Struthio camelus: one gene and its partner. The protein of the gene in region 1 interacts with the protein of each later gene in a pairwise test. Links are inferred from orthologs where the notes say so. Each region holds a gene or a part of one and is shown on either strand. Other genes may lie near its edges.

Evidence for each region.
Region 2: the proteins of SPDEF (region 1) and NKX3-1 interact in a two-hybrid assay, tested with the Homo sapiens proteins (2 studies listed by BioGRID). The link is inferred for Struthio camelus from reciprocal best matches to the Homo sapiens genes SPDEF and NKX3-1.

The regions. Positions count from the first base shown.
Region 1 is NC_090965.1:5,527,587-5,541,844, forward strand, and holds the start of SPDEF (SAM pointed domain-containing Ets transcription factor), read left to right. Parts: upstream 1-6,943; 5' UTR 6,944-7,013; intron 7,014-11,515; 5' UTR 11,516-11,541; coding exon 11,542-11,992; intron 11,993-12,942; coding exon 12,943-13,140; intron 13,141-13,228; coding exon 13,229-13,276; intron 13,277-13,717; coding exon 13,718-13,858; intron 13,859-13,952; coding exon 13,953-14,131; 3' UTR 14,132-14,258. UniProt on the Homo sapiens protein: May function as an androgen-independent transactivator of the prostate-specific antigen (PSA) promoter. Binds to 5'-GGAT-3' DNA sequences. May play a role in the regulation of the prostate gland and/or prostate cancer development.
Region 2 is NC_090968.1:5,034,700-5,049,517, forward strand, and holds NKX3-1 (homeobox protein Nkx-3.1), read left to right. Parts: upstream 1-7,836; 5' UTR 7,837-7,863; coding exon 7,864-8,245; intron 8,246-10,317; coding exon 10,318-10,700; 3' UTR 10,701-12,176; downstream 12,177-14,818. Other genes in the region: NKX2-6 (homeobox protein Nkx-2.6), read left to right, coding at 1,671-1,812, 3,284-3,882.

The DNA of each region.
Region 1 (14,258 bases):
GGGGCCTCCCCGAGCCGGGGGGACCTCTCGTCCCCCGGGTGCCGGAGCTTCGCCCGGGGCCTCCCCGAGCCGGGGGGACCTCTCGTCCCCCGGGCGCCGCGCTTCGCCCGGGGCCTCCCCGAGCCGGGGGGACCTCTCGTCCCCCGGGCGCCGCGCTTCGCCCGGGGCCTCCCCGAGCCGGGGGGACCTCTCGTCCCCCGGGTGCCGGAGCTTTGCCCGGGGCCTCCCCGAGCCGGGGGGACCTCTCGTCCCCCGGGCGCCACGCTTCGCCCGGGGCCTCCCCGAGCCGGGGGGACCTCTCGTCCCCCGGGCGCCGTGCTTCTCCCGGGGCCTCCCCGAGCCGGGGGGACCTCTCGTCCCCCGGGTGCCACGCTTCGCCCGGAGCCTCCCCGAGCCGGGGGGACCTCTCGTCCCCCGGGCGCCGGAGCTTCGCCCGGGGCCTCCCCGAGCCGGGGGGACCTCTCGTCCCCCGGGCGCCGGAGCTTCGCCCGGGGCCTCCCCGAGCCGGGGGGACCTCTCGTCCCCCGGGTGCCGGAGCTTCGCCCGGGGCCTCCCCGAGCCGGGGGGACCTCTCGTCCCCCGGGTGCCGGAGCTTTGCCCGGGGCCTCCCCGAGCCGGGGGGACCTCTCGTCCCCCGGACGCCGGAGCTTCGCCCGGGGCCTCCCCGAGCCGGGGGGACCTCTCGTCCCCCGGGCGCCGGAGCTTCGCCCGGGGCCTCCCCGAGCCGGGGGGACCTCTCGTCCCCCGGGCGCCGCGCTTCGCCCGGGGCCTCCCCGAGCCGGGGGGACCTCTCGTCCCCCGGGTGCCGGAGCTTCGCCCGGGGCCTCCCCGAGCCGGGGGGACCTCTCGTCCCCCGGGCGCCGGAGCTTCGCCCGGGGCCTCCCCGAGCCGGGGGGACCTCTCGTCCCCCAGGCGCCGGAGCTTCGCCCGGAGCCGAGCCGGCCGGAGGCAGCGGCCGCCGCAGCTCCCCAGCCCTGGCCTTGCCCGAAGGCAGCGCTCGGAGCAGGGCCGGCAGGAAGCAGGCAGCGCTGCCCGAGAAGCAGGTTTGTCAGAGTTTTAAAGCGATCTAAATAAATACGATAAAACAATTATTTAAAGAGCAAACAAATGGAAACTGCTAAAGGAGCTCTTCCCCCCCCAACCCCGCCGCGGGTGAAGGGTGGTGGTGCCGATGCCGCCGCCGGGAGCGGGTCGCCGTAGAGCCGACGCGCGTCGGCTGCTCCGGCCGGCAGCTCGCCGGGATGAGCTGCCCCCGTGGCGCGGGCGGGAGGGGGCTCTGTTTGCTCAGCACCCGCCGAGCTGCCAAGCAGCCGCTGAATAACAGAAAGTTTCGTTTCATCCTACCAGGGAAAGGTTTTATGGGGCATCCGCAAACGCCCATCCCGCCGGGGCCGGGGTCGCCAGGAAGGCGAGCGGCCGGTGGCGGGACGGGGCTGCTGCGCGGGCGCCGCTGCGCGCCCGCTGGCTTCGGCGGGAGCCAGAAACCTCGGCTCGCTGCTGCCCGAGCCGCCCTAGGCCGTCGCCCCGGCGCCAGGTCCGGTGCGAGCGCCCGAGCGGCAGGTCGACGGAGGCGTTTGGGGGCCGCCTGCAGTTGGGAAGCCCGAGGAGAGCTCGGCTGGTGTCTCTGGGCCCCGGAGCGGCACGGGGTTGAGCTTCCGCTGAGCAGGGAGGTTTCGCCCTCCGCGCCGGTTCGGAGCATCTCCCTCTCCAAGTGTTTGGGCTTAAAACCCGGGTGATTTTGTGCAGAAGACGAGGCCGGGAACAAATTTGTATTTTTTAGTGGCAGCCACTGTGGGAAAGCCAGGAGCCGGAGGGTTTGCCGGCGCTCGGCTCCGCGCCGGTGCTGGCACGGGGCCCTGCCGGTCTCACCTGGCCGCCCGCGTGCGCCTGGGAAGGGCGCGGGGCGAAGGCGGGCGCCCGGCTGCCCGCCGCGGGGGTCCCCGCTCCCTCCTGCCTTTTGCCTCTCGGCCCCGGGCCGCGGCGGAGCCGCCGGCTCTCGGCATCCCACCCCCGACCCCGCGCCAGGGTCCGGCGGGGCCGGGCTGCCGCGAGCCGTCTCTTCCTGGCACCGCTGGGCCACCCGCAGCCGTTTCCAGGCTTAATCCCGAGAGACAAAAGCCGGAGTTTAAAGCGACCGGAGGAAGAAAAGAGCAGGGTATTAACGAAGGAACAGCAAACAGGCAGGTGCATCCCTGCGCCCTCCCCGCGCCCGCCTGCGTCACCCGGCCTCTGAGCTGGCAGCCCCCCGCCGGCGCTCCGAGCGGCCCCCCCTGCCCGCGCGTCCCCCCGCCGCCCGCTAAACCGCCTTTATGGCAGCATCTGGGAGACGGGGAGGCCGGGCGAGGGAGGCAATAAACGGGAGCGGCTCCTCGCGCCGGCGCCCTTTGGGAAACGGGCGTTTTTGGCTGAGGGGAGGGAGGGCTTTAAGGGGCTTCGGTTGGTCCCCGCGCTGGCGCCGCCGGGCCGGTTTGAGGTGTGCGGTCCTGCTGATGCTCCTCGGGGAATAAAAAGCGTGCAGGGTGGTGAACGCGCAGCCGCAAGTCGCTTCTCTCGCCCTCGTTGGCCCTTTGGTTACGCTCAGGGTGGAAAAACCTCGGTTTTCCCTCCCAGCTGCGCTCCGAAGGCAGCCGAGCTCGCTCCCGCTCGGCGGCACGGGGACCCCAGTGCGGCTCCGCTGCCGGCCGGGGCCGCCGCCGTGGATCACCGGCGCGCGGGACGGGGCGGCGCCGCGAGGCAGCGGGGACGGGCCCCGTCTCGGCCATGCCGCTCCGCGCCGGCGCCTCTTGCCGGAGCGTCTCCAAAGCTTTGTGTGCAAAGGCCGGCCTGCCCGGCGCGTCTCCCTGGAAAGCGGGACGGGCGGTTCGAAGGGTGAGCCGCAAGGAGGCGAGGGGATTTGAGGATGGGCAGGGAACGGGGGATGCAAACCGGCTGGGAGCTGGGATGGGAAACGGGGCCGATATTCCCATCTTCTGCTAAGCCTGCTGCCCTTTGGGGGCAAGAGGGAGCCAGGAAGGGCTTGCAGGCGGCTGGTGAGACCTGCAGCCACCGTCCCTTTACCCGCTGCTCCCTCCGTCCTTGCTGCGCTCCCGTGTCTGCCGTCGCCGACTCCTTTCTAGGATCGCCGGGAGCGCTCCGGGCTCTGACCTTCCATATATGCCTTCGCTTGACATAACACAAGAGCGGCAGTGATAAACCCTCTTGGTGCAGGCTGGGAGGAAACGTGCCGGTGTTAGCAAACATCCAGTGAAGAGCAATTAAGATTACGGGCGGCAGGAGGGGAGCGAGCGGCAGCCGGTTCCCGGCAGGACCCGTCCCGGCACTTCGGCCCCGGGATCTCCGGGCTCTCCCTCGCGGCGCACCACGCTCGCCCGGGTTTCCCTGCCCCCTGGCAATTTTCCCCTGGTTATTTCTGGTGGGTTTGAAGCCATTCCCCTTTGGTTGCGGTTAAAGCACGAGAAAACCCACGCTGCAGCCTGCAAACGGGGGTTCGTCTCCTCTCTGGACATCACCCCTGCCGAGCCCGGCAACGAGGGCAGCAGCGGCGCGGGCGATGCAGGGCGCAGGGCACCCGAGCGGGCCGGTTTGCTTTGCCCGGGGACCGCTGTCACCACCAAACCCCGGGCGGGCTGGCAGGTGAAGCAGGAGAAACCCCGCCGCGGCCGAAGACCAGGAAACGCCGTTCGGCTCTGGTGACAAACCGCTGGGGCTCGACCGTGTCTGTGGTTTCTGCGATGACATCAAATCCCTTCGATAATTTTATTATGTCCATATATTATATGGCTGCTTATCTGTTATTCTTGTGATAGAGCCAGAGATTAGCCGCAGGTGGGTGGGCAGGGAGATTCTTCCAGCCTGAATCACAAGCAGTTTCTCCAACTTTCCCCTCCGGCCGGCTCGCCGAGCGCTGAAGGTGAAGCAGCGGCAAAGGCACCGGAATTGCAGGCGAGCAGTTGGCAGAAAGGACAAGGAAAAGCACATAAAACTGCGCACACACACGGCAGAGAAGCCAGACTTTATTTCCCCTCTTCTATTGTTCCTCAGGTGTTGCAACCTATTCTTTTCCTGTTTTGCATATGTAACCAGAGCTGCTTTGAATAGCAGTTGTGACCCCGCCGGGATTGCGAAAGGTGGGAGGCTCGAACGCACCACGACCGCCAGCCCGTTGCACCGAGCGTCTGGAGCCGCCAAACCTGCTTGTGGGAAGGAAGTGGGAGCAGCTCCGGCAGGCCTGCGGGTGGGCAGCGCCGGGCTCGGCCCACGAAAGCGCCCGGCCGTGTGTCACCTCGCTTTGGAGGGATTTGGGTTTCTCCATCCGCCAAGTGGCAAACGCTCTCGGCTTTGGCTGAAAGTGTCAGGAATCGCCTTATCCAGGTGCTGGCTGCTGTAATGCTCTTCCCAGGCTGTTGCCTGAGGCACACGTGTGCAGGGACACCGGGGCGCCCTTGTCACCTTGGCTGCATCCCGCCAGCTCCAGGGCCGGAGCCCGGCCCGCGGGGAGCCCCGCGTGGCACCTCTGCCTGGGTCATGCACTAGCCCATCTGCAAATGGGATCGACGTGGTTTCAGGCCAGGCCTGACATTAGCCCCAGGTCCCCTTTGCCAATTTTGGGGGTTTTCTGTGTTTTCCTTGCTCTACGTCTCCGCCGCCAAGCTGGCCAGCTCTCCCAGACCTGCAAAGCAAACGCCTTGGAAAGCCAGGCAAACGTTTTTCCTTTTAATTTGTTGCTTATCAAAATCTCCGGGGCTACTGATAACAGGAGCAGGGAAAACATTTTCAGACCCAGACGTGATCTTTTGAGCTGATCGAGGGATCCCAGACAGGCTGGGGGGGCCGGTGCTCAGGATGCTCCTGAGCAGGGACGCGGGGCCAGGCGCCTCCAGCGGCTCCCTTGGACCTGGGCATCCTGCTCCTGCCTCTTTGTCTGCTGCACCCAGACCACGCTCTTCTCCCCGTTGCCGTGTTGCTGTTTGCTCTGGTAACGAGTGGTAATTAAACCTAATAAGAGAGGGAGACCTGCGGGTGATGTCACGGCGAGGAGGCACGAATTCAGCTTGCACAGCCCGTGCAAACCGCTCTGCAAACTTTCCTCCAAGGCGGCGGGGTCAGCGACGTGGAGCTGGCGCTCGACCCTCGCCGGAGCGTGTCCCTGCGAGAGACCTGGAGGAGGCACGGTTTTGAGGGAAGAGCTAATGGGATTTGTCGCTTAGGACACCAGGAGCAACGCGGTTGCGGCGTTGCAATGTCTAACGCAGGCGGATGAGCGGGTTAAGCGTGGCGGGATGCCGTGGAGGAGCGCCTGCAGCTGGGCTTAGCACCGACCAAAGCAGCGGCCGTGAGATTGAGCCGTTTTTCCTTAACGCCTTGGAAGAACCCGCTGTGAGCGGAGGCTTCCCAAGGGGCCCCAGCTCCGCCGCCGGAGCTCAGCAGCTAGAGCAACCCGGAGCCGGCGGGGGCAGTGGGCTCCGGAGCGAGACGCGCCTTGCCCGCCCAGCCCACGTCTCCTTCCCGGCAGCCGCCACGTGTTACGGGTCCGGCTGTATTTACCAAAACAGACGGGAGCGAAGCTGCCCTCGAATGGCGAGAGCCGTAGTCTGGGGAGAACATTTTCCCCGCCGATAAGATAACATTGAGGCGTTTCGAAAGGGAGGCAGAAACTCCTGGCGCGGGCAAGCGGGCGGCAAAGCCCCGCGGTGCCCTCTGCTAACGCGCCGCCGCGGCCCGGGGAGGCGGTCGTGCCCGGGTCGCCTTTTTAGGGGGTTTTATTTTTTTTCTCCCCCCTCCCCTTCCTCCCAGCAAGCAGCGCAGGGCCGGCGGCGAGGACGTGGAGCCGGGCTGAGCGGCGCCGGGGGGAGAGCGGGCGGCGCAGGCACCGCTCGGCCCGGGTGCGAGCCGTCCCTGGCAGCCGGGGCGGCCGAGAGGCCCGGGGCCGCCTCGCGCCGCGGGTATTTACGGCCAGGGTTGGGCTGGGTTTTGCCTGACGCCTTCTCAAAACCGTGGGGTTTTGGGGGCCGTGGGAGAGTTGGGTTTTTCCCGAGCTGTCCGTGGGAGAACGGACTGAGCTGCGAGGCGTTCCTGCCGTGTTCAAAAGACAATAAATACCAACTCGGTGTCTGTCTCGGTCAAAACAGCTTTTTCCAGCTCGTGCCGGTGAAGACGCACCAGGCCTTGAACGCCCCGCGCCGGCTCCGGGGCGCAGCAGCCCTTCCCGCAAAGCGCTCCGGCCCCGCCGGGGAGGAGGGTGCCGCGTCTCTGCACCGCGGCGCTGCCGGAGAGCGGCGCGAGGGTCTCCCGGCGCGCGCCGGGCCCCGTGCAGCATCCTCAGGAGGCTGGAGCATCCCCGGCTTGGCGCTCGCCGCCTCCGCCGCGGGTCCTGCACCGTTGCCCTCGCCTGCCTCTCGCTGATTTGCACCCGGCCCGGCCGGCGCTGGAGCGAGTTATTTTGTGCGCGCGAGCCGCCGGCGGCGGGGGAGCAGGTCCTCTGCGTCGCAGAGCCCGGCGGAGCGGCCGGCGCGGGCCGAGGTTGGGAAGGGGTTAACGGTGCCCGGGTCGGTCCCGCTGAGCCCGGCGCGCTCGACGCACCCCTCAAGGGTTAAGCCCCGCTTGGGATATTCAAACACCTCCAGCTGAGGTAAGCACACAGCTTGTTTGTTCAGGTAAATAAGGAAGGAATTAGATATAATGGGCACAGGAGGCATTCGCTGAGCGTTTTGCATTCCCGGCTCGGCGGCCGGCTTCCCCCTGGCGTACCGCGACACCCATGCCCGGCCGCTGAGCCCGGCCCCGCGCGGCCCTCGCAGCCCCCCGAGAGCCGATGCGGCGCGGCCCGGCCGCCCTGCCGCCGTCGGGCCGGGGCTGAGCGCCGCTGGCCGCCCCCCGTCCCCGCGCCGGGCGCCCCGGGGCAGCCCCGCCGGGGCCATGCCCGCCCCGACCGCCGCGCCGGGCGCCCCGCGCACGGCTCTCGCCGCCGGCCGCCGGCAGCCGGGTGCTTTCTGAGCCGGGCGCGCACCGTCGAGGTAAGCCCCGGGCCCCCGTTGGCCCCTCTGCCCGCTCCGGACGCGGGGTCGCCGTGCCCAGCGGCGGCTCGTCCCTGCCCGGCTCGCGCCGGGGCGAGGGTACCTGCCGGCGGGAGGTTTCTCGCGCTTCTTGCGACGGCGTCGGCCCGGATGAAGCGGCGTTCGCCAACCCCGACCCCGACCCTTGCAAACCGCCCCCCCCTCCCGCCGCTGCTAGAGGTGGGGAGGCGGAGCGGGGGGCCGCGGCGCCGGGGTCCTGCCCGCGGCGCTGCCCCTCCGGGAGCCCCGCCGGCCCCGCCGCCTCCCGCGCCAGCCGAAGGCCGACGGGCGCCGCGGCGGGGAGGCAGCGGCCGTGGGTCGGCGCTGCCTTCGGGGAGCCGGCAGCGCGGGGGGCGTCTCTGCCAAGGGCTTTTAACCCTTTTAGCGGAGCTGCAGCCTCGTAGAGCCGCTGTGCTTCCCCCCCCCCCGCCCCCCCCCCCCCCGGTGCCAAAGGCAAATTGGCTCCAGGTTGGATTTTTATGGTTCTGCTCGGTTAGTGAAACACAAATGCCGCTCGGCTGCCAAATCCCCCACAATACGGCCTTTCTCATGGGCAGGAGGCTCCGCGGGGCCGGGAGCTGGCAGGGGCAGGGAGCCGGCGCTATAAAGAGGGGCGGCCGGGCTGGCATGGGGAACGGCAAGCTCCGCTGCGCGCCGGCGAGGCGCCGAGGCCGGCGGCTCCGCTCCTCGCCTCGCCGCCGGACGCAGAGGGCAGCCCGACCCGGGGCGCCCGCCCGGCCCCCATGCAGGTAGCGGCGGGAGGAGGCGGAGGGCGGCGGGACCCTCCAGGGTGCCGGTGGCACGGCGGAGGAGGGCTGGGAGCCGGCACGGAGCAGCCCCCGAGGCGGGTCCAGACCCCCGGTGCAAGGCTGCGTCCGTCCGTCCGTCCATCCATCTATCCTGGGGGGGTTGTGCTGCCGGGGGCTCTGCGCTCCCAACCCTGTCGCCGTGCAGGGCCCTATAGCGAGACCCCCGGGTCCTCCACATCTCCAGCCCCCCCGAGCAGCAGCCCAGAGCCCCGAGCTCCCACCCCGACCCCAAAAAGCCTGGGAGCAGGCACCCGTTGCACTGCGGGGAAAGAGGTGCCAAGTGGGACCAGACCCAAGGGAGAAGGAGCAAACCCCAAACCCTGCACCCAAAAGGGCTGTTGGGCAGGGAGGGGATCGCTAGGCACAGTGGGGTCCCCCGCGAGACCCCCGTCCTCTGCCGTCCCCAGGGTATCGGCTTGCAAGAGCCCTCCTGGGGGTCTGCGGTGGGTTTGGGGGCTGATTGTGGCCCCCCGGGCCTCACAGGGCCACGGTAGGAGCTGCAGAGAGCCCGTGTGCCCCGTGGGGCTGCAAACGTGGGAGATGCAGCCAGTTCATGTTTTCCGATGAAAAACACACTCCGGCCAGGGGCAGAGGAGCCCCTGGGCCCCTCGCGCCCCCCGTCCTGCGGCCGCAGCGCCCGCGGCCTCCTGCCGCCCCGGCTCGCGTTGGGCTCCCGCGCCGGGGGTCTGGGAAAGCGCCCCGGGATTTGGGAGCTCTGCTGGGCAGCGCCTCCTCCCACCGCCCCGGGCCAACCTCCGCGGGTCTGGGCCGTCCCCCCCGGGCTTCCCGAGCTGTGCTCCAGCACAACCTGTTTAACCGCAGATTTAATTTTAATTAACGGGCCCATTGTTTGAGGGTGCTTGGTTGGATTTTTTTTTTTTTTCGGTTGCTTTCTCTGGAGTCGCTGGTGCAGGCTGTGCTCAGGCAGCGGGGCAGGTAGTGCCGGGGCAACCGACCTCGCCGCCCTCCTCATCCTCCCGGGGCTGGAAACGGGGACGTCTCCCGAGACCCGTCCTGCTGCTCTGCCGCCCGGCTCCGCCGTCCCCCTTGTTGCACCAGGCGACCCCAGAGACGCGGTGCTGGGTGGATGTGGGTGCTGCCGTGCGGCTCTCGTTGCGGTCGGCCACGAAATCTGCCGCTTCCCGCGCTCCGGTCTGGGGCAGAAGCTTCTTGCTCCAAGGGAACCTGTTGACTTGTTTTTGCCTTTGCAGTGGCTTGGAGAACCAGGGCAAGCAAACCGCGCGGGGAGCCGGCGTCGGAGCTGGCCGGGGCCGGGCGACCGCTGCTCTGCCAACCCCGGTGGCACCGCACGCGGAGGGGACGCGTCGGCTGCCTCGCCTCCGTCCCGCGGTACCGGGCCGCTACGGCACCGGCCGCCGGAGCCTGCGGGGAGAGCTGGCGGCGGCGGCACGTCCCTCGTCCCCGTCCCGCACCGCGTTTGCTGATGTGGGCTTTCCCGCGGGCCCAAAAGCGGCGAAGCCGGGCAGCCCGGAGAAACATCCCGCTTGTTTTTTTTGCACGGAGCCTTTTGCCCGTGCGGCCGGGCCCCTCCGGGCGCCGCTCCCGCCAGCCGGGCCTCCGGGCGGCCGCCGCGGGAAGCGAAAGCCTCCGAAGCCCTGGGGCCCGGCGCCTCGTCCAAGTCGGTGGCAGTTGTTTGTTTAAAGCGTGGCAAGAGCTAATTCCCTAATCGCTTCCTCTCCCGCCCGCAGGGGCAGGCCGAGCCGGCGGGCGCTGCTTCGCCGGGGCAGAGCTGCCGGCGCCGAGCTCCCGCGGCTGCGGCGGCGGCGGCGCGGGGGGCTCGGCTCGCCCCGAGCATCCTCGCGCGGGGACGCGGGAGCGATGCCGCCGCCGCTCCGGCGGGTCGTCTTCTTGCCCAAAGCGGCTTCCGAGAGCAAACACGTCCCCACCCAGGCGGCGGAGCCGGGGCCGCGCGGCGGCCGCCTGCGTGCCAGCGCCGGGGAAAGGCAAACAGAGGCCCTCGCCCTGCGAGCGCCGCGCGGCTCGGCCGGAGGGCGCCCGGGCTGTGCCGCCCCGCGGCGCCCGGAAAGGCGGCCGGAGCACCGGGCAGCGCCGGGGCGGCAGCGGGCGCGAGCGGGGAGCGCCGAGCCGCTCTGCCCCGGGGCGTCCCGGCGGAGGGGCAGGCAGCGCCCGCGGCGCCCGGCGCGTCCCGCAGGCTTCGGCTCGGCTCGGCCCGGCGCGTGGCAGCCCGTCCCCCTCCGGAGCAGGCGGCCGGAGCGGCGCAAGCTGTCGCCGCTTCCCTTTTGTGCCGGGAGCAGCGTGAGGCTGGATTTAGGGCTGATCTGCTAAAGCTCTCCGTTTAATCCAGAGCGAATAAAGCGGAGGTTTGGAAGCGGGCGCCATCTCTCAGGGAAACGGGCCGGTGGGGAGGTGCTGGGTACCTCCGTGGAGCCCTGACCCCCTTCCTCCCTCCTCCTCCTCCTCCTCCTGCTCGCTCCAGCCTTTGCGGTGCCACCGAAACGGCCCCGTGCGCTCGGTGGCTGGCGCCTGGGATGGCCCCCGGTCTGCGGGGCTGGGCCGGGGCGTCTCCGTGCGCGGCAGCGGCTCCCTGGCGCAGGGCCGTGCCGAGCCAGGCGGCTCCGCGCGGCTCCCGGCATCCGCTCCGTTCGCCCTGACGAACCCGATGACGCGTTTTTCCCCTGCGTTATTGAAACCTTCCTTTCCCTTGCTGGGATTTGGAGCAAAGAGGGAACGAGCCCGGCGGCCGCTCCGTCGCCAAGGCTGGAGCGGTGGCCGGGATGCTCCCTCTGCTTTTGGGAAGCGCCAAATCACGCGGGTGGGTTTTTTTCCTCCTTGTGAAAAAAAACCACGACAGAAGAGCTGGAGGCAGGCGAGGAGGGCTGGGACGGCAGCGGCGCCCCGGCCGCCGCCGTGCCCTTCGGCAGCCGCTCCGCTCGCAGGCGCCTTGTCCTTCCCGAGGCCCCCGGCTGCCCGGCCGGGAGCTTCCTCCGTCGATGGAGACGGTTCCCAGCGTTGCCACGGCAATTCGGCAGGCTCATCCTCGTCTCGGGGCTCCCCGCGTCCGCCAGGCGGATGCCCGCCGGCTAATCCGGGGCGCTCGGGTCTTGCAAGAGAGTAAAGAGACAGTTGCCACCGCGGGGGTCTGCAGCGGGCGGCCGGGAGGCGGGCGCTGCGGGGGGCCCGGCGCCGAGCTCGGTCCCCTGGCCCGGGAGAGCCGGGTTTGGGGCACCCTTGGAGCTGGGTTGAGGGCGTTGGGTCATGTTTCCACGCGCGGAAACCTGCCCGCGTGGCTCAGGTGCACCATTTAACCGGCCCTGCTCAGGCGCTTCGGAGACCCTCCGGCGTCTCCCGCCGCCTCCTTGCAAGCGCCTCCAGGCCTGGTCGGCACGGGAGCGCTGCAGAGCCGCTTTGCAATTCGTGGTCCGGCCCGAAAAGCCGGCGGCGGCAGAGCCCCGCGCGCCGCCCGCTGACCCAGAAGCAGGGCGGCCGCCCCGCGCCGCGCCGGGCTCCTGAGCCTGCTTTCATCCGGGGTCCCGCAGGGCGCCGGGGGGCTCTTGGGAGGGTTTTTCTCCCCCCCTCTAACAGGCTTAGCTGCCTGCCTTTGTGCCTGCCGCCGGGCGGCATCGGTGGCGGGGCCGGGCGCGCCGGCGATCCCGCTCTCTCCTCTCCCGGCAGGCTCGGAGCCAGCGCTGAGCAGCGGCATGGGCAGCGCCGGGCCCGGGCTGGCCGCCCCGCCGGCCGGCCGCGGCGGCACCCTGCAGGACGCGGCCCTGCTGCCGCCGGCACGGCAGCCCGGCGCCCGCGGCTGGGCGAGCACCGGCAGCCCCAGCCCGCCGGCCACCCCCGAGCAGAGCCTGCCCGCTTTCTGCCTCCACTACTTCGACATGCTCTACTCGGAGGAGGCAGCCTGGGCGTGCAAGGGCCCGGGGGAGCCGTCGCAAGGCAGCGCCCAGGCGGGCCGAGGCGAGGTGCCGAAGGAGCCGGAGCAGTGCCCCATCATCGACAGCCAGGGCCTGGGGCTGGGCGCCGAGCTGGACTTCCAGGGCAGCCTGCACCTGGAGGAGCACTCGCTGGAGCAGGTGCAGAGCATGGTGGTGGGCGAGGTGCTGAAGGACATCGAGACGGCCTGCAAGCTCCTCAACATCGCCGCAGGTGGGTGGCCCCGGCACCCGGGGGGCTCCCGGCAGGCATCTCTCCCCGGCAGGCCCCCGGAGCAGCCCTCCGCCCACGGGGGGTGGCAAACCTTTCAGCAGACCCCTCTGCGGAGCTCGGGGAACCGGATGGTGCAGAGGCGGGGAGGGCAGGCGCCGGGACACGCGGACCCGATGCCCCGTCTGTCCCCGCCGGCGGTCCCTTCCCTTCCCCAGGCCGCGGTACCGGGATGCGTTTCAGCGTCTCGTGGAGGGTGAACGGTAGCGAGGAGCAGGCGGCGCCCGCTGGGACTTTTTTCTCCTTCCCTCTGTCTCGCTTTCACCCCGCGCGGGCATCGCTGCAGCCCCGGGGTCCCCGGACGCGCTCGGGTTGACGCGGGCTCTGTCGTCCGCCCCGCTCCCGCAAGGCTTGGACACGACCTGGGGGCTTGCGGGGAGCGAGCGGGACTTCGAAAGGCTGGATAGGGCCCGATCAGCCCCGTCAGAGCCGGCAGCGGGTTTTGGGGCCGCGCTCGCAGCCCCTTGGAGGGAGCCGGACGGGAGCAGGCGGAGCGGCTGCCGCGGCCCCCGGGGCCGTTCCCCGGAGCCGCCAGGTGCTCGGATGGGTGCTGCCAGCGCCGAGGCCGGGAACAAAAGGGACTTTGACAGGTGGAGGAAAAATGCCACCGCGGAGGAGAGCAAGGTCGTGCCGCCACCGGCCGGGCGCCGCGGGGCGTTTGCTCCCCGCCGGCAGCGCTTGGCTGCTTGCTGGGCTGAGCCGGCCAGCGAGGGGGGACCCGGGGTCCCCGTCCCGGCTCTCTGGGGTATCCTTGTGGCTGATACCGCTGCAGGGCAGTTTGGCCGGGACAGTGGGAGCTGTGGGGTGAGCTGAGTTTGCCTGGACTTTGCTTGGGGGGGGGGTGGGGGGGGTCAGTGCTCACCGGCCGGCGGCGGGCGCCCGTCTCCCTGCAGACCCGGCTGACTGGAGCCCCGGCAACGTGCAGAAGTGGATCCTGTGGACGGAGCACCAGTACCGGCTGCCGCAGATCGGGAAGTCCTTCCAGGAGCTGTCGGGCAAGGACCTGTGCGCCATGTCCGAGGAGCAGTTCTGCCAGCGCTCGCCGGTGTGCGGCGACGTCCTGCACGCTCACCTCGACATCTGGAAATCTGGTGGGTGCCGGGGCCCGGCGGGGACGCGGGCGATGCTGCACGCCCGGCCGGCACATGCCCTCCCTGACCAGGAGCTTTTCCCTTCCAGCTGCCTGGATGAAGGAGAAAGCCGCCCCGGGCGACGGGCGATACTGCGGTGAGTTTTGCATGGGCTCAGCCTTGCCAGCCAGGTGGGGAGCCCTGCTGGCTGGTCCCTCCACGACTGCTCTGGGGTGCTGGGGAGGTCGCTCCTCACTTAATTGCAATTCTCCATTGCGTTGGCGGAGTTGCTGCTGCGCTGGCATCCGTGTGTTTGCACTCCCTTCTGCCCAAAAAGCAAGCCCTGGGCTGGCTGCCCACGTGGTGCAGCCAAAGGGGGAACAGCCGTGAGACCCTCATGGGCCCCTGTCAGCCCCGGGTGTCCTAGCTGAATTTTGGATCCCTGGGCTGAGTCCCCCGGAGACCTGCAGGCATCGAGCCGGGGTTTCCCGCACGGGGAGCCACGCAGCGCCACGGCCACGGGCTCCCGGCGCGGGGCAGAGCGGCCAGGTCCCCTCTCCAGCCCATCCTCAGCCCGTCTCCGTCCCTCCCTGCCCAGGGGGTGACGCCGGCTGGGCGGACAGCGAGGTGGACTCGTCCTGTGCCGGGCAGCCCATCCACCTCTGGCAGTTCCTCAAGGAGCTCCTGCTGAAACCCCACAACTACGGGCGCTTCATCCGCTGGCTCAACAAGGAGAAAGGTGGGTGCTCCGGCGGCGCCCGCCTTGGTGGCGACGGGGAGGAGGGCTCGGCTGTAACCCCCAGGTTCCCGTCCCCTCCTCGCTCCCCTCGCAGGCATCTTCAAGATCGAGGACTCGGCGCAGGTGGCACGTCTGTGGGGCATCCGCAAGAACCGCCCGGCCATGAACTACGACAAGCTGAGCCGCTCCATCCGGCAGTATTACAAGAAGGGCATCATCCGGAAACCCGACATCTCCCAGCGCCTCGTCTACCAGTTCGTGCACCCGGTCTGAGAGGCGGAGGAGGGACAGGCTGCGCCCGGCAGGGACAGGGGACCTTCGCCGCCACCGCGCGCCCTCCTCGACCGCGTAGACCGTCTCCCAACGCTAAGGACCGAGGCTGGGGTGCGGAGAGGCTCCC
Region 2 (14,818 bases), on another chromosome or scaffold:
CTCTCCCCCAGCTGGACCGTCCGGCCCTCGCTCAGGTGAACTCTGGCGTCTCCATCAATCTCTGCGGCGCAGCGTCATTGGGGGGGGGGGGGGGGATAAAGCTGCTTATCCCGAGTCCTTCCGGCTCATCTCGGTTGCAGCCAAGCATTTCACCTTGGCGCCGGCTGCCTCCTGCCACCAGTGAGCTGAGGTGTAACGTTACTGCCCGTTTGCCCTCGCCTTTTGGTGTTTTGAGGCCCAAACAAGCCATGCAGAGGTGGCAATGAGTCCAGCTGGGGAAGAAGCGGCCAGGGCTGGCCAGTGCCTCCCAGCAGGGCCGGAGGCAGCGCCTGTCCCGAGGGCGCCAGCCCCACACCGGGCTCCGGAGGGGGCACAGGCCTCAGGGACGGGGAGGTGGCAACGGCGCCTGGCAGAAGCCTCCCCATCGCCTGCTCTCCTCTGGCACGCCGTTTCGCCCTGTTTTGCTTAAAAACGGCCTGCGTGGTCGTGCCGCACCGTGCTGCGGCAGCCTCAGGAACACCGCGGCCTTCCCGGTGCCTGGGGGCTCCCGGCCGGGCTCTGCCGGGCCCCGCGGGAGCACGGCGCTGCCAGCCCGGAGACGGCATCTCTGGGCCCAGCGTGAGCTCTTCACGCGGATGGTGGTCGCAGGGCTGCTAATAATGTGACTGGTCATGGTTTGCACGCCGTGATGCCAGCGCATTGGCACAGATATCCCGCAGGCATCAACACCTGCAATACCAACAACACAGGACACAGAGGGTGGGAATAAACCCATGCGTTAAGCAGAAATAAGGATGGACCGAGAACACTTTTCTCCCCCAGCCAGCGTATTTATTTTCCCTCCCGTTTCAGCCCCTCATTTCCTTGCCTGCCTTGGGGTAGTTTATTTATTCAGCCTCCCCTAACAGTCCAGTTCGGCTCTGTTGGTGGTGTGGGAGATACCGACCCAACCCAGACAAAAACTCGCTGCGCTCTGTCATGGCTATCAGCAAACACCCCCCCGCCGAGGCCAGCCAGGAATTTTAATGGCCGGAGCCGCTCGCTGCGCCCCGATAAGGCCGGCGGGGCCCCGTGGCAGGCGGCCGCCATCGAGGGCCCCCCCGGCTCCTTGACTCCCTCGCTCCCCCGGCTCCCCCAGCTCCCCCAGTTCCCAGGGTCTCCCGGCTCCCCGGCTCCCCCCGCTCCCCAGCTCCCCCGATTCCCCGGCTCCCCCTGGCTCTCCGGGTGCCCCCGGCTCCCCCGGCCCGCGGCGGCGGCAGCCCCGGAGCGGCGCTGGTGGGGGCCCCCGTCGCAGCTAGGTGGTCGGCGCCTTATCAGCCCTTATCTCCCCTCGCCGCTCGCTAATGTGACCTTAATGGAGGCTAAAATCGACACGATGTGTTTTATTGCGGCTTAGCCCGAATCCACCGCCCCCCCGGCCCCGGCCCCGGCGCTTCCCCTTGTTTTGGCAATACGGAGGCGGCGGGCCGAGGGGGCTGGCTGCCTCCCGGCCCGGCGGAGCCCGCAGCCCCGGGGCGGCGCACGGCCGCTCCCCCCCGCCCCGGGACCCCCCCCCCCCGGGCTGCCGCCCCCCGGGCGCGGCGGCGGGGCCGGGGGTGGCGCCTGCCGGGCGGCAGGAGGCCGGGCAGAGGCGGGGAGCGGCCCCGGTGCGCGCAGCCCCGGCGCGGACCATGCTGCCCACCCCTTTCTCCGTCAAGGACATCCTCAGCCTGGAGCGGCCGGACCCCGTCGGGGGGCTCCGCGCCGCCCCGGGCCCCGCTGCCGCCGCCGGGGATGCGCGGAGCGGCGGCGGCGACGAAGAGCCGCAGCCGCGTAAGTGAGCCGGGAGGGGCAGGGAGCGGCCCGCAGCCCCCCGGCCCCGGGGCCAAACGCCGCCGGGCTCCCGGGGGCTCCCGGCGCCCGCGGAGCCGCGGCGGGGCCGGGCAGGGGCAGCGCGGCCGCCGCCCGCCCCTGCGCGCCGGGAGCAGAAGCGAGCGCAGTTTCCGCGCGGGGCGGCGGGCGGGCGGCGGAGCCTGTCGCCTCTCGACGGAGGTTATTTTCCCGCAGTTCGCGGTGGGAAATGTCGTTTTCCCTCCTCCGGCCCGTTTCCCAGGGCGGTATTTCGTTGCGGGCGTGTTACCCGCCGCCCTCCGAGCGGCCCGCCGCATCCTGCCCTGCTGCGCCCAGCGCGCCGCAGCCGGGACGTCCCGTCCCTTCGTTTGCAGCACCGCAAGCTCCCGATTGCCACCTCGCCCTAACGAGCGCCGAACTAAACCGTAACATAAGAATAGGCTATTTTCGGTTAGCAACGAGACCTGCTGGCGGGCTGGCGCCTCCCCTCTCGGACGAGCGTTTGCCCCTCGCCCCCCGCGCAGACCGTCGGCCAAAGCCGAAAAACCGCCCGCGCTTTGGGTGCCGCAAAAGCCCTAATTCGATGCTGCGCAAATTTGTCGCCGCCGCAGCCCCGCCGGGGGGTCTCAGCGCCCTACGGCGACGGTCGCTGCCCGGCGCCCCTCACCGTGTCTTCGGCCGCCGGCACCGGGACGCGCCGCGGGAGCCGCCCGCTGGCCGGGGCCGGGCGCGGATCCTGCGCTCGCCCCGCGGAGCACACAGACCGGGGAAGGGCCGGGAAGCAGAGCCTGAGCCCAGGCACGGGGGGCCAGGGCGGCCGAGGGGGAGCGCGGCCGGCCGAAAGGGAGAGCAGCCCGCGTGAAACCCCAACCGAGACGAAACAAAAACGAAAAATAACCCGACTTTGCCTCTTCTCGCCGATCTAACAATTTCCCTCATTCATTCGCAGCCCCTTCGTTGCTCTAGCAAAGAGCTGCCAGATTCCCCTTCCCTCGGGCGCTAGAGGAAAATCCTGCCCGAGGACCCCTTGCAACCACTTCCACCTGCTCCAGGGCAGAGGGACCGGGATGGGGATTTGTGCTTGGGCGGGGGGGTGCTCAAACCTGCGGCCACAGCGTATCCTGCTCCTCCTGCGCCCCTCTGGGCTGGAGCTGCCACGGCTGTGGCACCCACAGCAGCACCGACACCCTTAGGAATGACCACAATGAAGCTTTGGCTAAAATTCACGCGACAGCTAGGCTTCTAATTCCATCCAAAAAGGGGGGGGGGATTTTCTTGACTTTCCATTGAACTTCATATGAATGCTCATATTAAATTCGGCAAATGGATATGCTCCTTCATCTTATTCCCGAGGGGCCCCGTTCCCCATTTGATTCCTTCTCCAAAAACTCACCTTCCCTGGGAACAGGACCGGGGTCGGGTCTCATTTTGCTTTGGGTTTTTCTCACTGCAGGAAATTGTGTGATCTCCCGCTCCTTCGAGGCACACGACACCAAAGCCGACCCCTGCAACCCTCCCAAGCAGCGGCAGCGCAGAAAACCCAGGGTTTTGTTTTCCCAAGCTCAGGTGTTTGAACTGGAAAGGCTGTTTAAGCAGCAGAAATACCTCTCCGCTCCGGAAAGGGAACACCTCGCCAGCCTGCTCCAACTCACCTCCACGCAGGTGAAAATCTGGTTCCAGAACAGGCGCTACAAGTGCAAGAGGCAAAGGCAGGATAAGTCCCTGGAGCTGGCTGCCCAGCCGCCGCCGCCGCCGCGGAGGGTGGCCGTGCCGGTGCTGGTCCGGGACGGCAAACCCTGCCTGGGGGGCTCCCCGCCTTACTCGGCCCCGTACAGCGTGGCCGCCGGCCCTTACGCCTACAGCACCTACTACAGCACCTATAGCTGCAGCCCCTACGGCGCTAACTACGGCTACGCCGGGGGGCTGCCGGCACCCACCGACACGGCTCCCGCCAGCCGCGTCGCCAACACGAGCTTTGGGGTGGCCAGCGCAGCCCCAAACCAGCCCCCGCACTTGCAAGCCGTGGTGCAAGCGGGGATCAGGGCTTGGTAAGCGGCCGCGGGAGCCAGGATGGCGCCGCGGGAGCCGCCGCGGCACGGCTTTCCCCGGGAGGGGAGCAGTCCGGGGCCTCCGGGGGTTTCTGCCACCCGGGGCGGTCGGACGTGCCCTGCGTGTCCCCGCCGGGCCACGGCGGGTCGGGAGAGCGGGCCGCTCGCCTTCCTCACTGCGGCTTTGGGGACCGAACGACCGCAGGTGCTTATTTATTTGAGGACAACGGGCCCGGAGCCTGGCCCTTCCCGCTCCCACCGGGGTTTGCTCCTTGGGGACGCCAGCGGGCAGCGCTGGGAAAGCTGCTCTTCTTCTAAGGCGACCGGAAAACAGGGTCTGTGCGCATCACTGTGCCTTTGCTTTTTTAATGAACACTGTATTTAATGCTTAGAGTTTCTCTTTAATCTTCTGAGATATATTTCTGATTTATATTTCTTAATATCTTCCCAGCACCGATTTTCATTTTTGTTGATATTATTATTACTATTTACAATTAAAAAAAAAAAATTGGTGAAAATGTGCGTTTTCCCTCTCTCATCGCTCTTCAAAACCTAAGGTTTTGACTTTTCCCAGCCACAATTTGCATCTGAGTGCCAGAATCTGATCCAAAGCCAACACGGAAATCCATCTGAACACTAACAAATGACCCAGAAAGGATATTGCCCAGCGGTCCAAGCACTGCAGCTCCCAAAGTTTAACCTCTGTTGGTGAGTTCCCCCCTCTCTAAACCCTGGCAAGTCTTTTAAGGTCCCGGTTGCTATTTCCTTATTGGTAAAACAGCTCAATATCTGCTTAACAGCTGATCTGGGTGCCCCAGATCCGCATCTGGCTCTATAGGCATCAAGCCTTTTGATGGGTAAAAGGAATACATATACATTCTGTACACACACACATACGCACACATATGCACACACCCTTGTACGTGTAATGCTGAAGAGCCGCATGGCCTTGCACGGGGCGAGGGCTGGGGCTTCACAACCCCGACTTCTGCGCTGGCGTCGGGGCCGGGGAACGGGAGACGCGCTCCAGAGAGCCACCCTTGCCGTTTCGATTGTTTTGCAGAGAATTTTTTCAGGCGACTCTTCCCGTCGCAGCGTGGGCTTTGCCTTACCTTTCTTTTTTTTTTTTTATTAGTTCATATGCTTTTTGAAAGGAAAAACCCACTGCTCGAATGATTACTTTTCCTGCCCATCACAACGCCCAGGCAGGAACTAGGATCCCAGCAGCGTCACTGTTACTAAACCCCGACGCTTCCAGCCTCGCCGTGAGAGCAGCAGGGCAGGCACGGTCCTACAGGCCGCTTCTCCTGCCACGAGTTTGTGAGGCCTCTCTCAGAGCACCTGCAGCTGCCGGCGTTAGCGGGCGCTGCAGGAGGCATCAAAGGGGAGCACAGCCGATACCCTGCACAAGCGGGATGAATCCGTGAGTTACACTTGCTCAACTACCCTGTTAAGGCTATTTTGAGAGCTTGGCCACGAGGGGCTGCATTTCCCAAGGACTTTGGCCTGCACAGGGCGAATCGGAGCTGCTGCAGCCCATCGCGCCTTGCAGAAGCAGGACACGCTGAGGAGCCGCTGCCTCCTTCCTCGTCCCCCTCTCTTCCTGCCGCCTTCTTACCCTCCAGGAGAGGCTGGCAGGAGGCCACTGAGGTTTTACCGCACACGGCCCCATCACTCCAGCTTTCGCTCGCTTCCCCGACGGGCCGTACCTGACATCCAAACCAAAGGAGAGAAACCTGCTCGCGCCCCCGCCGCGGACGCCAAGGGAGAGCCAGCGCAGCCAGCAGCATTTCCAGCACCGGGGCTGAAGCGCGAGTTTAACAGCGCCGAGCACGCCCGGGTTTTTTTGCGTTGAGGTTCGACAGCAAAACGAGGCAAGAGCAAGAGGCTCCAGGCTTGTGCTGGAAAATAAGAAATTATTCTGCCCACATTAGAAATTACCCACTCTGCCAGCCACTACAAAACCGGGAAGATCTGTCCCAAACACGCCTCCCCCCCCCAAACCGGCCAACCTTTGCGTGGCCAGCCGCAGGGGGCTTGCACGAGGCGAGAAACGGCCGCGGAGGGGTGTTGCAGCAAGGGGCTGCAAGCGCAGCATCCCTGGCCACGGCCGGCCGCCAGAGCCCGTCCCGGACGCCTGCTACTGCTCACACCGAGGGCTGCAACGGGGCGAAAACGGGCCTGGCCGAAAAAGTGCCGTGCAGCCAGGCGCGAGGGGTCGAGCAGGCGGATAGGAGCGGCGCTAAGAGCTACGGCAAAGCTGTCGCTGCAAAGCCGCGGTGTAGCAGAGCAGCCCCGCGATACCCCGATGCCCCTGGAGAGGGGCAAACAGCCCAGCTGCAGGCACAGAAACCCTCCAGCTACGTCTTCTGCTCACACGCTTGTGCGGCTGCCTAAAAGCCCAAGTGCTCCGGCGCGCAGCGGGGGAGCGTGCACCGAGCTCCTAACGTCTGCGGCACCTGGGAAACAACCAAACGCCCCTACTGCACCTATTGCAACCTTCGTCCTCTCAGAGGTTGAAACAGCAACGGTGACGGCACGAAAGGACGGAGCTGAGCAAGGGGACAGAAGTAGCCGGCTCCGAAATGAGGCACAGAGCTCGCGCAGCGCTGCGCCCGCAAGGCACGGGGGCATCGGCCGCACGGTCCTGCCCGTGAGCCCTGAAGCATGGCTGACTTCGCTGCAGCTCCTGGTGCAGGTTGTGTCTTCTGGCCCTCTTTGCAAGGCAGCCGGTGGGCTTCGGAGGGTCTCGCTCCTTGCTTTGCCGGCGCTCGCCGGCTGGCTGTCAGCTCCGCTGCGACACAGGTAAGGATGCCTGCCAACGTCGCCTACGGGGCCCAGGGGGTGCTGCCGCGAGCGAACGCGCTTCCCGGGGGACACGGTCCCAGGGCCAAATCCTGCTCTGCCCGGGGGCGTCCCCCCCCGGCTCGCTTGGCCTCGCTTTGCCGTGATTTTTTTTTTTTTAAAAAATCACGTGCTGGACACGTTTGCGGATGTGGCTAGGGATTTTACGTGCAGAAGGGGAATTTGTCGTGAAAACAGAAACTCTAGGAGTCTGACGCATCGACGGCACGTAGAGCGCGGGTGCTGAGGAAGGGGCAGGCGCGACACAGAGGGGGCGACCGGGGCGGCGCGGTCCGGCCGTCCCCGTCCCGCTGGGCGCCCTGGAGCCCGGGGCCTCGCCGGGGCCGCGGCTTCTTACGCAAACGCTGTCCCAGGCTACAGGTGGCTGAGGTCTCGCGCTAAAATTATGCTTAATTTTTCATGCTAACGCCGCCGGGGGCCCCTTCCTGTGCAAGCGAGCGAGACCTCTGCCTCCGATCTGCTCTCCCGCTCCATCGTGCCTTAATCCGCATCCTGAAGCCCCTTCACAAAGATAGATGAGGGGGTCTTTAACATCTTTTTCTCCTTTTTTAAACAAACTGAAAGTTCAAAGTGAAAGTTTTGGAAGGAAACCCTCAAAACCTAGATAAGAAGAAGCTTTTTCCTCTTTTTTTTTTTTTTTTTAACCCTCTTAAAACTCAGCATTCCCACGGAGCTCTAGGGCCGGCCCGGAGGACACGCAGCACCTCCCCAGCTGGGAGCAGGCAGCGCGCGGCCGGCCCGGGCTGGAGGACGGCATCGTCCCGGGACGGGAACGCCGCCCCGGCGCCCCAAAACCCCGTCCGCAGCGATGCTCCGGCTGCCGGGAAGGAGGCAGCGGCTCAGGGTTATTCCAACCGCCGGCGCCGGGAGCGCGAAAGCTCCGGGGGGATCGGGAGGCGGCGGCGGTGGCTGGGATGCGCCGCGCTGCGGGGCCGGCCGCAGCATCCCGGGCAGCGGGAGAGCTCCCGGGAGCCGAGCCGGCGGCGCAGGGCGTAGGCTCCCGCCGGGATCTCCAATCAGGCCCGGGAGGCTTGGCTGCCGGCTGTATAAACGCGGCGCCGGGCGGGCGGGCGGCCAGAGCGCTCCGGGCAGGGCGAGGAGGAGGAGGAGGAAGAGGAGGATGAGCGCCGGGGTGCTGCCTCCAGGGAGGCCGGGAGCCCCCGGCAGTGCCGAGGCGGTGGGAGGCCAGCGGCACCCCGGGGACCCCAACCCGGCCCGGCGGCAGCCGGCAGCGGGGCCGAGCCCCACGCGGGGCCGGCAGACCATGCCCGTCCTCTCCAGGCCTCTGACATCCTTCCTCATCCAAGACATCCTGCGGGACGGAGCCGAGCGGCGGGAGCTGGACGAGAGCCAGGGCCGCGGCGGTGCCGGCGGCCGAGGGCTGGGGGAGCCGGGGGCGGCCGAGGGCCGCGAGCGCCGCTCGGCTCCCGGGGGTGCCGCCGGGGACCCCGGCCTGAGCCCTCGACCCGAGGCAGCGTCGCCGCCCCGCCAGCCCCACGCAGGTAAGGGCAGCAGCCTCGGCCGGGCCGCGAGCCAGCGTCGGCGGCGCGCAGCTCGCCGGAGGGGCGTAGCGTCGGGGCAGGATCCCAGCTGCGCCCAGCACCGAGCCCCGGAGCCAGACTACCGGGGCGTTCGAGGATATCCGTGCTTTAGCTGCGGGAAAGCAACCTGGGCATCAAAGACCATCCCCGCTTCCACCGTGGGAAACTCAGAGGAAGAGCAGCCGGGCGCGTAGCTTTAGCCAGGCTCTTCCAGTAGCGCCCGGTACCGATGCTGCCTAAAACTCTGCTGGAAAAAGCCCGCTCGAAGGATTTCTGTGCGATCTTGGCGGAACTTAGTTCCCTTTTAATTCAGACCCCCCCCGCCCCCGTCAAAGACGTAGCTTGTGCCTCAGCTTTTACGCCGCCTTCGGCGCGGCGATGCAGCCGCAGCGGGCGTGCGATGCCTCCGGTGCAGCCACGCTTTGAAGTTCTCCGTGTTGCATTTATGCCCTTTGCCGTGGGGCTGCTTTCCTGGGGGCTCAGCACCGCTCCCAGCACCCTGCACCTCGCCGTGTCCCTGCCCGTCACTGACACGAAGCCGCTCTGGCGTTTTTATTAATCTTTCTAGCATTGACCCGCTAAATTCACTGGTCAGAATAACATTTCGCTGCAGAACTCACATACCGAAAAAAATCACATGCAGAAGCAATTTGTTGAATGGTGCCTCTGGCGCACCAAGAGCCCAAGGGCAGAGGGAGCCCCGGGCAGGGGATCGGCGTTTCCCGTCCTGCAGCGCCCCGGGCGAGCGGGCCGGGTGCTGGGCTTGGACGGCCAAAAGCAACGCTGAGCTCTCCAGCGACCGCCTCGCGCTCGCTAGCGGAGACCTTGCCAGGGGAATTTTGGCTTTGCGTTTCGATGCTATTAAAAGAAGCTGCTGCACAGAGCAAATTCGGAAACATTCACCAGGCTGGTTATTAAGAAAAATCATTAAGCCCCCAAACCAGCTCTTGCAGAATGGAGCTGGTGCCGAGCAGCACCGCTCTGGGGATTTCAGCGGGACTGGGATGATTTACACAAGCTGGGAATTAAGCCCATTGTTTCTATCTTAGGCATTATGTTCACATCTTAAGAAAATATACTAAGAAATAACCAAAGAAGAACTTGGCCTATTTCCATAGCAAGCTGAGTAATACACCAACAGGAACTAACTCCATAAATAAATTGACTTAAAAAGTTTTGATAGTTGCAGGTGACACTTCCCAGGGGCAGGAAGAACACGTCCACTTGTATTTTTGATCCTCCAAGGCATCTTTCAGGCTATGGTTTTTTGGTAAAAAGAGCCCACAGCTGAGAAATGGAGGTGAGCCACTAGCTCTGCGGCGCTCTGCGCGAGCTGTGTGCGCTCAGCACCTTCCCGGATCACAGCTCGAGTGACTGAGCGATGCCGCGGGAAACAAGCCCGAGGCAAATCCCGGGCTGCTGCTTTGGCACTCCGGCTGTGGTCCGAGTCCAGCTCTGCGGCTGCGTACGATGCAGTCAAGCCGGTCCTGAAGATTTAGAAAGCCTCGAGACAGCGCCCCAAAACTTCCTGGCATTGCCGCGCGGTCGGGAACAAGAGGGAAGAGGGGAGTCGCTTTCAGTGCTTTCTAATTGCAGGCGGGTTTAAGCTGCACTGATTTTACGTTTCTGAGCTAGAGTTTAAGGAGAGGAACATACTTTTTTGTGGAGGCCGGGATCTTCCCGTAGGCACAGGCGAGGGGACTTTGCAAAGAAGTGCCCGGCATCGCGAGCTCTGCAGCAAAACCCCCAGAGCCGCCAATGCCGTAACAGTACCTGGGAGCGTCAGGCGGGCCTCACCCGCGTGGCAAAATGCCCCTCACTGCGTTTTTCTTTTTTTCCCCCACTAAATATTTACTTATATGAATTAAGAATCTATGATATTAGGGGGAAAAAAAGAAAAAAACCTTAGGCAACTTAATGCACTGCTCCACTAACTAAAAAGTGGCAATATGAATATTTTGTGCTTTTGGAGGGGGGAGGAAGAGTAATTTGGGCAACTTGCAGAGGGTAATTCTCACCTCTTTGCTGGGCAGCGGCGGCGGCGGAGGAGCCCTGCGCGTCGGAGCGCGAGAGCCCGCCGGGCGCCCCGCGCTGCCCTCCGCGGACCCCCCGGCAGCAGAAGCGCTCCCGCGCCGCCTTCTCCCACAGCCAGGTCGTCGAGCTGGAGCGGAAATTCAGCCACCAGAAGTACCTGTCGGCCCCGGAGCGCGCCCACCTGGCCCGGCACCTGCAGCTCACCGAGACCCAGGTGAAGATCTGGTTCCAGAACAGGAGGTACAAAACCAAGAGGAAAGAGCTGGCGGCCGAGCTGCGCGGACTGGCCAAGCCGCCGGCCGGCCCGCTGCCCCTCGCCGGCGCCTGCCGCTACCTCCCCTGCCTCTCCTACCTGAGCGCCTGCAGTCCCTCCTGGTGGTGAGCGCGGCCCCCTTGCCTCTTAAACAGTTTTTTTTTTTTTAATGCTGTGTTGCTTTTTCTCATACTAATTGGGGATGGGGGTGGGGGGTGGGAAAAAGGCGCTTCTGACTTGGTTCACAGCAACGCTCGGCGCCTAGCTGCCATGCGAGCCTTTCTCACCACCAACCGTCCGGGGTTATAAAACGCAAAAAAAAAAAAAAAGCAAAAAAAGGCAAAAAAAGAGCAAGAAAAATGCAAAAAAAAAGCAAAACCCCCCAAAAATTGCAAAAAAAAAAAAAAAAAAAAAAGCCCAAGCCTTCCAAAGCATCTAATTCGGCACACCGAATAGCGCTGCTCCGCGGCGGGGCTGCGGCTAGGGGCTGGTGCCGGCTGCTTGGGGGCAGCAGGCGAGGCACGGCCACGCCGCCCGCGACGCCGGAGCCCTGCAGCTCGTAAAAACCCACAAGCGACTGGAGGAAAAAAAAAAAAAAAAAAGGAAACCAAACGACCGCCGTTGCGTTTCTCCCACGGAGAGCGTCGTTGCTGCCCGGGGGGATGGAGAGCGGCGCCGGCCGGGCAGACCCGGCCCCGGAGCTCCGGGCACCTCGGGGAGCCCGGGCCGGCGGCCGGGAGCGGCGACAAGAGCGCGGTGACGGATGAGCTTTGCATATCCGGCTGCTGACGCCGGTCGGCGGGTTTTTTACATCCGCGCTCTTTCAAGCAGCCCAAGCGCAAAGAGCTCGGCGCGCCGGGCGGCTTTGGCAGCAGCCAGCGCGGCGGCGGCGGGGGTGAGAGCGGCCGGCGGAGCCCGGTGCTCCCCGGCCCTCCGGCCTGCCAGCAGCAGCAGGCAAAGTCTTGCACCGGCGACTTTTTAAGTGAGGCAATTACTCGGGCGGGTGGCAGAGACGGCTTCGGTAGCTCATCGCGCTTTAAAACACGAGATGCTGCTAAGTCTAGGAGAAAAAGCGCAGAACCCGATGGAGGAAGGGCGCCCGCCGGCGGCAGCGAAGGTGCCCGGGGCGTTTCTTCCCGCGGCGCCCGCTCTCCCAGAAGGAGGATGAAAAGCAAAATCCCCAGCGATCAGGGTAGGGGCAGAAACTGCTGGGGTCACCGGGGCCCCTGGCGCTCGCCGGGGAGCAGCCTTTCCGCCCGGCGGCTGCAGAAGCGCCTCGCCGAGCGGGGAGCAAGCGCTCGCCGTCCGGCTGCCGGCAGGTAACCGCCGGTATCCGCAGAAAACGCCTCCTGCCCGCCCGGGCGGCCCCCGGTGCGGCGGCCGTCTGCTCCACGCCGCCGGGGAGAGCCCGCTCTTCCGCGGCCGGGAAAAGGAGACGGACGTACGGTGAACTTCTCGGACGGTTCGCTGGGGAAATGTTTGTGTCGTGGCTGCTGCTGCTGCTTTTTTTTTTGTTTTGTTTCCCCCTATGATTTTTTTTTTTTTTTAATTCCCATTCGGGGTTTAGGACCAATAAAATACCCTTCTTGCTGCTTCAGCACCAAACTGCTCGTACTTCCTTCTGCTGCCAAGGCCAGCGCCCTCGGTCGCTGGTTTTGCCTGTATTTTTTGATACTGTTTCACGCGATGTCCTTCGGAACAAGGAGCGCAGAAGCGAGCCGCCTCCGCGGGGTCTCTGCTCCGGGGCTGGATTTTTCTGCTCTGGATTTTCTGTGTTAATCTTGTCCCCATATATTTTGTTACTCCTTTAGGGGATTTGGATACTTGTGAGGAAGAAGATAAGTAAGTACGCTGGGCACGTCCTGAGCGCGGGGGCCGGCCGGGGTGGCAGAAGCGCTGCTTGCAGCCCCTAGCGGAGTCGGCGCCTCGACAAGAACCGAGCAAAACCCGTCAAATCGGGCTGCGGGGCTGCTCTGGCTCTGCCGCTTGGCGAGGGCGAGGACGGCCGCGGCCGGGGCAGGGACGGGACGGGAGCGACCTTGAGGCCGGCCGGCCGGCCGCTCTCCCCCCGCCGCAACCCCCTCGCCTCCGCTCCTGCCAGCGGCGGCTTTGCAGGGCCGGGAGAGCGAGCCGAAATAACCGCTTTTACCCTCAGCAGGTTTTTTTTTTTTTTTTTTTTTCCTTACTGCCGTATTTAAGCCGAATCCGCCGCCCGACCGAGCCGGGCACCGCGATGGCGAAGCGTGGGCCGTCCTGCTGCGCCGAGGTGGCCCCCCCCAAAACCCGGCCGCCGGGCCGGTCCCTCCGCTCCTCCGCAGCCCTTTTCCCCTCCATCCCCAAGCGTTTTCTCCCCGGCGAGAACAGAGACTTCCGGCTGATTTTCTTTCCCCCCCCCCAGCCCGAAACACAAAGCACGAGGACAAAAAAAAAAAAAAGATGGGGGCCGTAACGCTCTGCTGACCGCATGATGCAGGCGCGGGCGCGAGTGCGTTCATGGCAGCGGCCGGCCCTTGATTAACGCCGAGACGAGCGATCCCACCCTGACGGCGGGGCCGCGGAGTTTTAATCCGCCTTAACGAAGCACACCTCCTGTTTGCCCGCGGCCGGAGGCAGAAAGCAGCGTTTGACGTCCGTCAATCAGCGTCACGCTCCGCCGCCGGCGTATCCATCAAGACTGAATAGCGTCTCACGCTGACATAACATTTACGCTTGCTTGTGCCAAAGCGTTTATTTGAAGCGAGGGAAAAGGGCTGCCTTTGGATAACGTGGCTGTTGACTAACATTTGCATGCGCTAAACCGCGTAGCTGGCAACGGCGCGCGGGACCGGCGCCAAGAAAAATCTCCCGCTTGCCCTGCCCGGCCTTGGCGAGCCGGAGCAGCGCGCGGGCGGCCGCGCGGGGTCCGGCAGCGGCGGCACCCCAGCCGGAGACCGTTCTTACCCTGGGTGCTCTCCTCGGCGCCGCATCTCTCGCCAAGCCGGCCGCAGCACCGCCGGACGGCATCGCCCGCTCCCTTCGCTGGGCCCGGCCGCCGTCCCCGGCTGCTTTGCGCTGGGGGAAGCCGAGCGGTGCGATCGTCCCGGCGGATTTTCCCCACCGCCTTCGGCCGCAGGGGGAAGGGGAAGGGGAAAAAAGCGGGTGGCTTTGGGGAACGTGGGGAAAACCGCAGGTGTGGGGACCGGCTCGCGCGCGGTTCCCGCGCGGCGCTCCGCACGGGCCCAGCCGCCCTCCTCCTCCTCCTCCTCCTCCTCCTCCTCGGCCCCTTCGCGCCAGGCACCGCTGGCGAGCCCCCGCTGTCACGTGTTCGCGTGGGGACAAGGATCCCCCCCCCCAAAAAAACCCCACCGCGCCGGGCACGCGGCGTCCCCGGCGTCCCCGTTTCGCCCCGATTCCGCCGTGCCCCCAAAGCCGGCGGTTCGCAGGATTCGCTGGGGGCAGAGCAGGGCGCCGACGCGCCCAGCGTAGCGCCCGCTGCGGAAGGGCGCCCGGAGGCCTGGCGAACCGCGCCGCGCGGGCCGCCCTGGCGCTAGAGCAGCCCTGGGGCGGCCCTGGCTCTGCCGGGCAGCAGCTCGGCCCTCCAAAACCTCCGGCACGTGCAAAAACCCCGGCGGCGGTGGGTGAAAGGGGGGACTGGCCTTTTCGACCAGCAAGATGTACGCCGGCGCAAAGCGCTTGGCCGCTCTACAACCAGGTGCCCTGTCTGTTATAAAGGGAATTAAATCTCGAGGCTTAAATACAAATGTTTTTATTCCCTTTGTGGACAATCGTGGCAGAATGAGATAACAGGTTAAGGTGGGGCCGGAAAACCTTTCGCTCTGTGCGCTGCATCTTGTCCTCCAAGGTAAACATGCGGCTTAATGAAATTTCAAGAGGGAAAAGGTGAGATATTTGCCTTTATTTAAAGCAGAAATAATATTTGAAGAGAAACAAAAGAATCAGGCAAACTAGGCAATAATCGTACGCGGTGAACAAACAGAGCCCAGATCCTGGATTAAATCAGAAACGACTTGAGAAACGAACGCCCGACGGCCGGGCGGCACGTAGCTCCACGAGCGCGGCGCCGGTGCAAGCGTCCCCTCTCGCAGCCCCCCGCCGCGGGCGCCTGCCGGGCTCCCGCTGCCACGTTTGGCCGCAGCAGGTTGGTTTTTTTTTTTTTTTTTTTTTGGTGCCAGTTTCAGCCCGAGAGGGAAAAATACCGGCGGGGAAGCGGATCAGATACAGGCTGCCCAGCGGCAGGGACCCGGGCG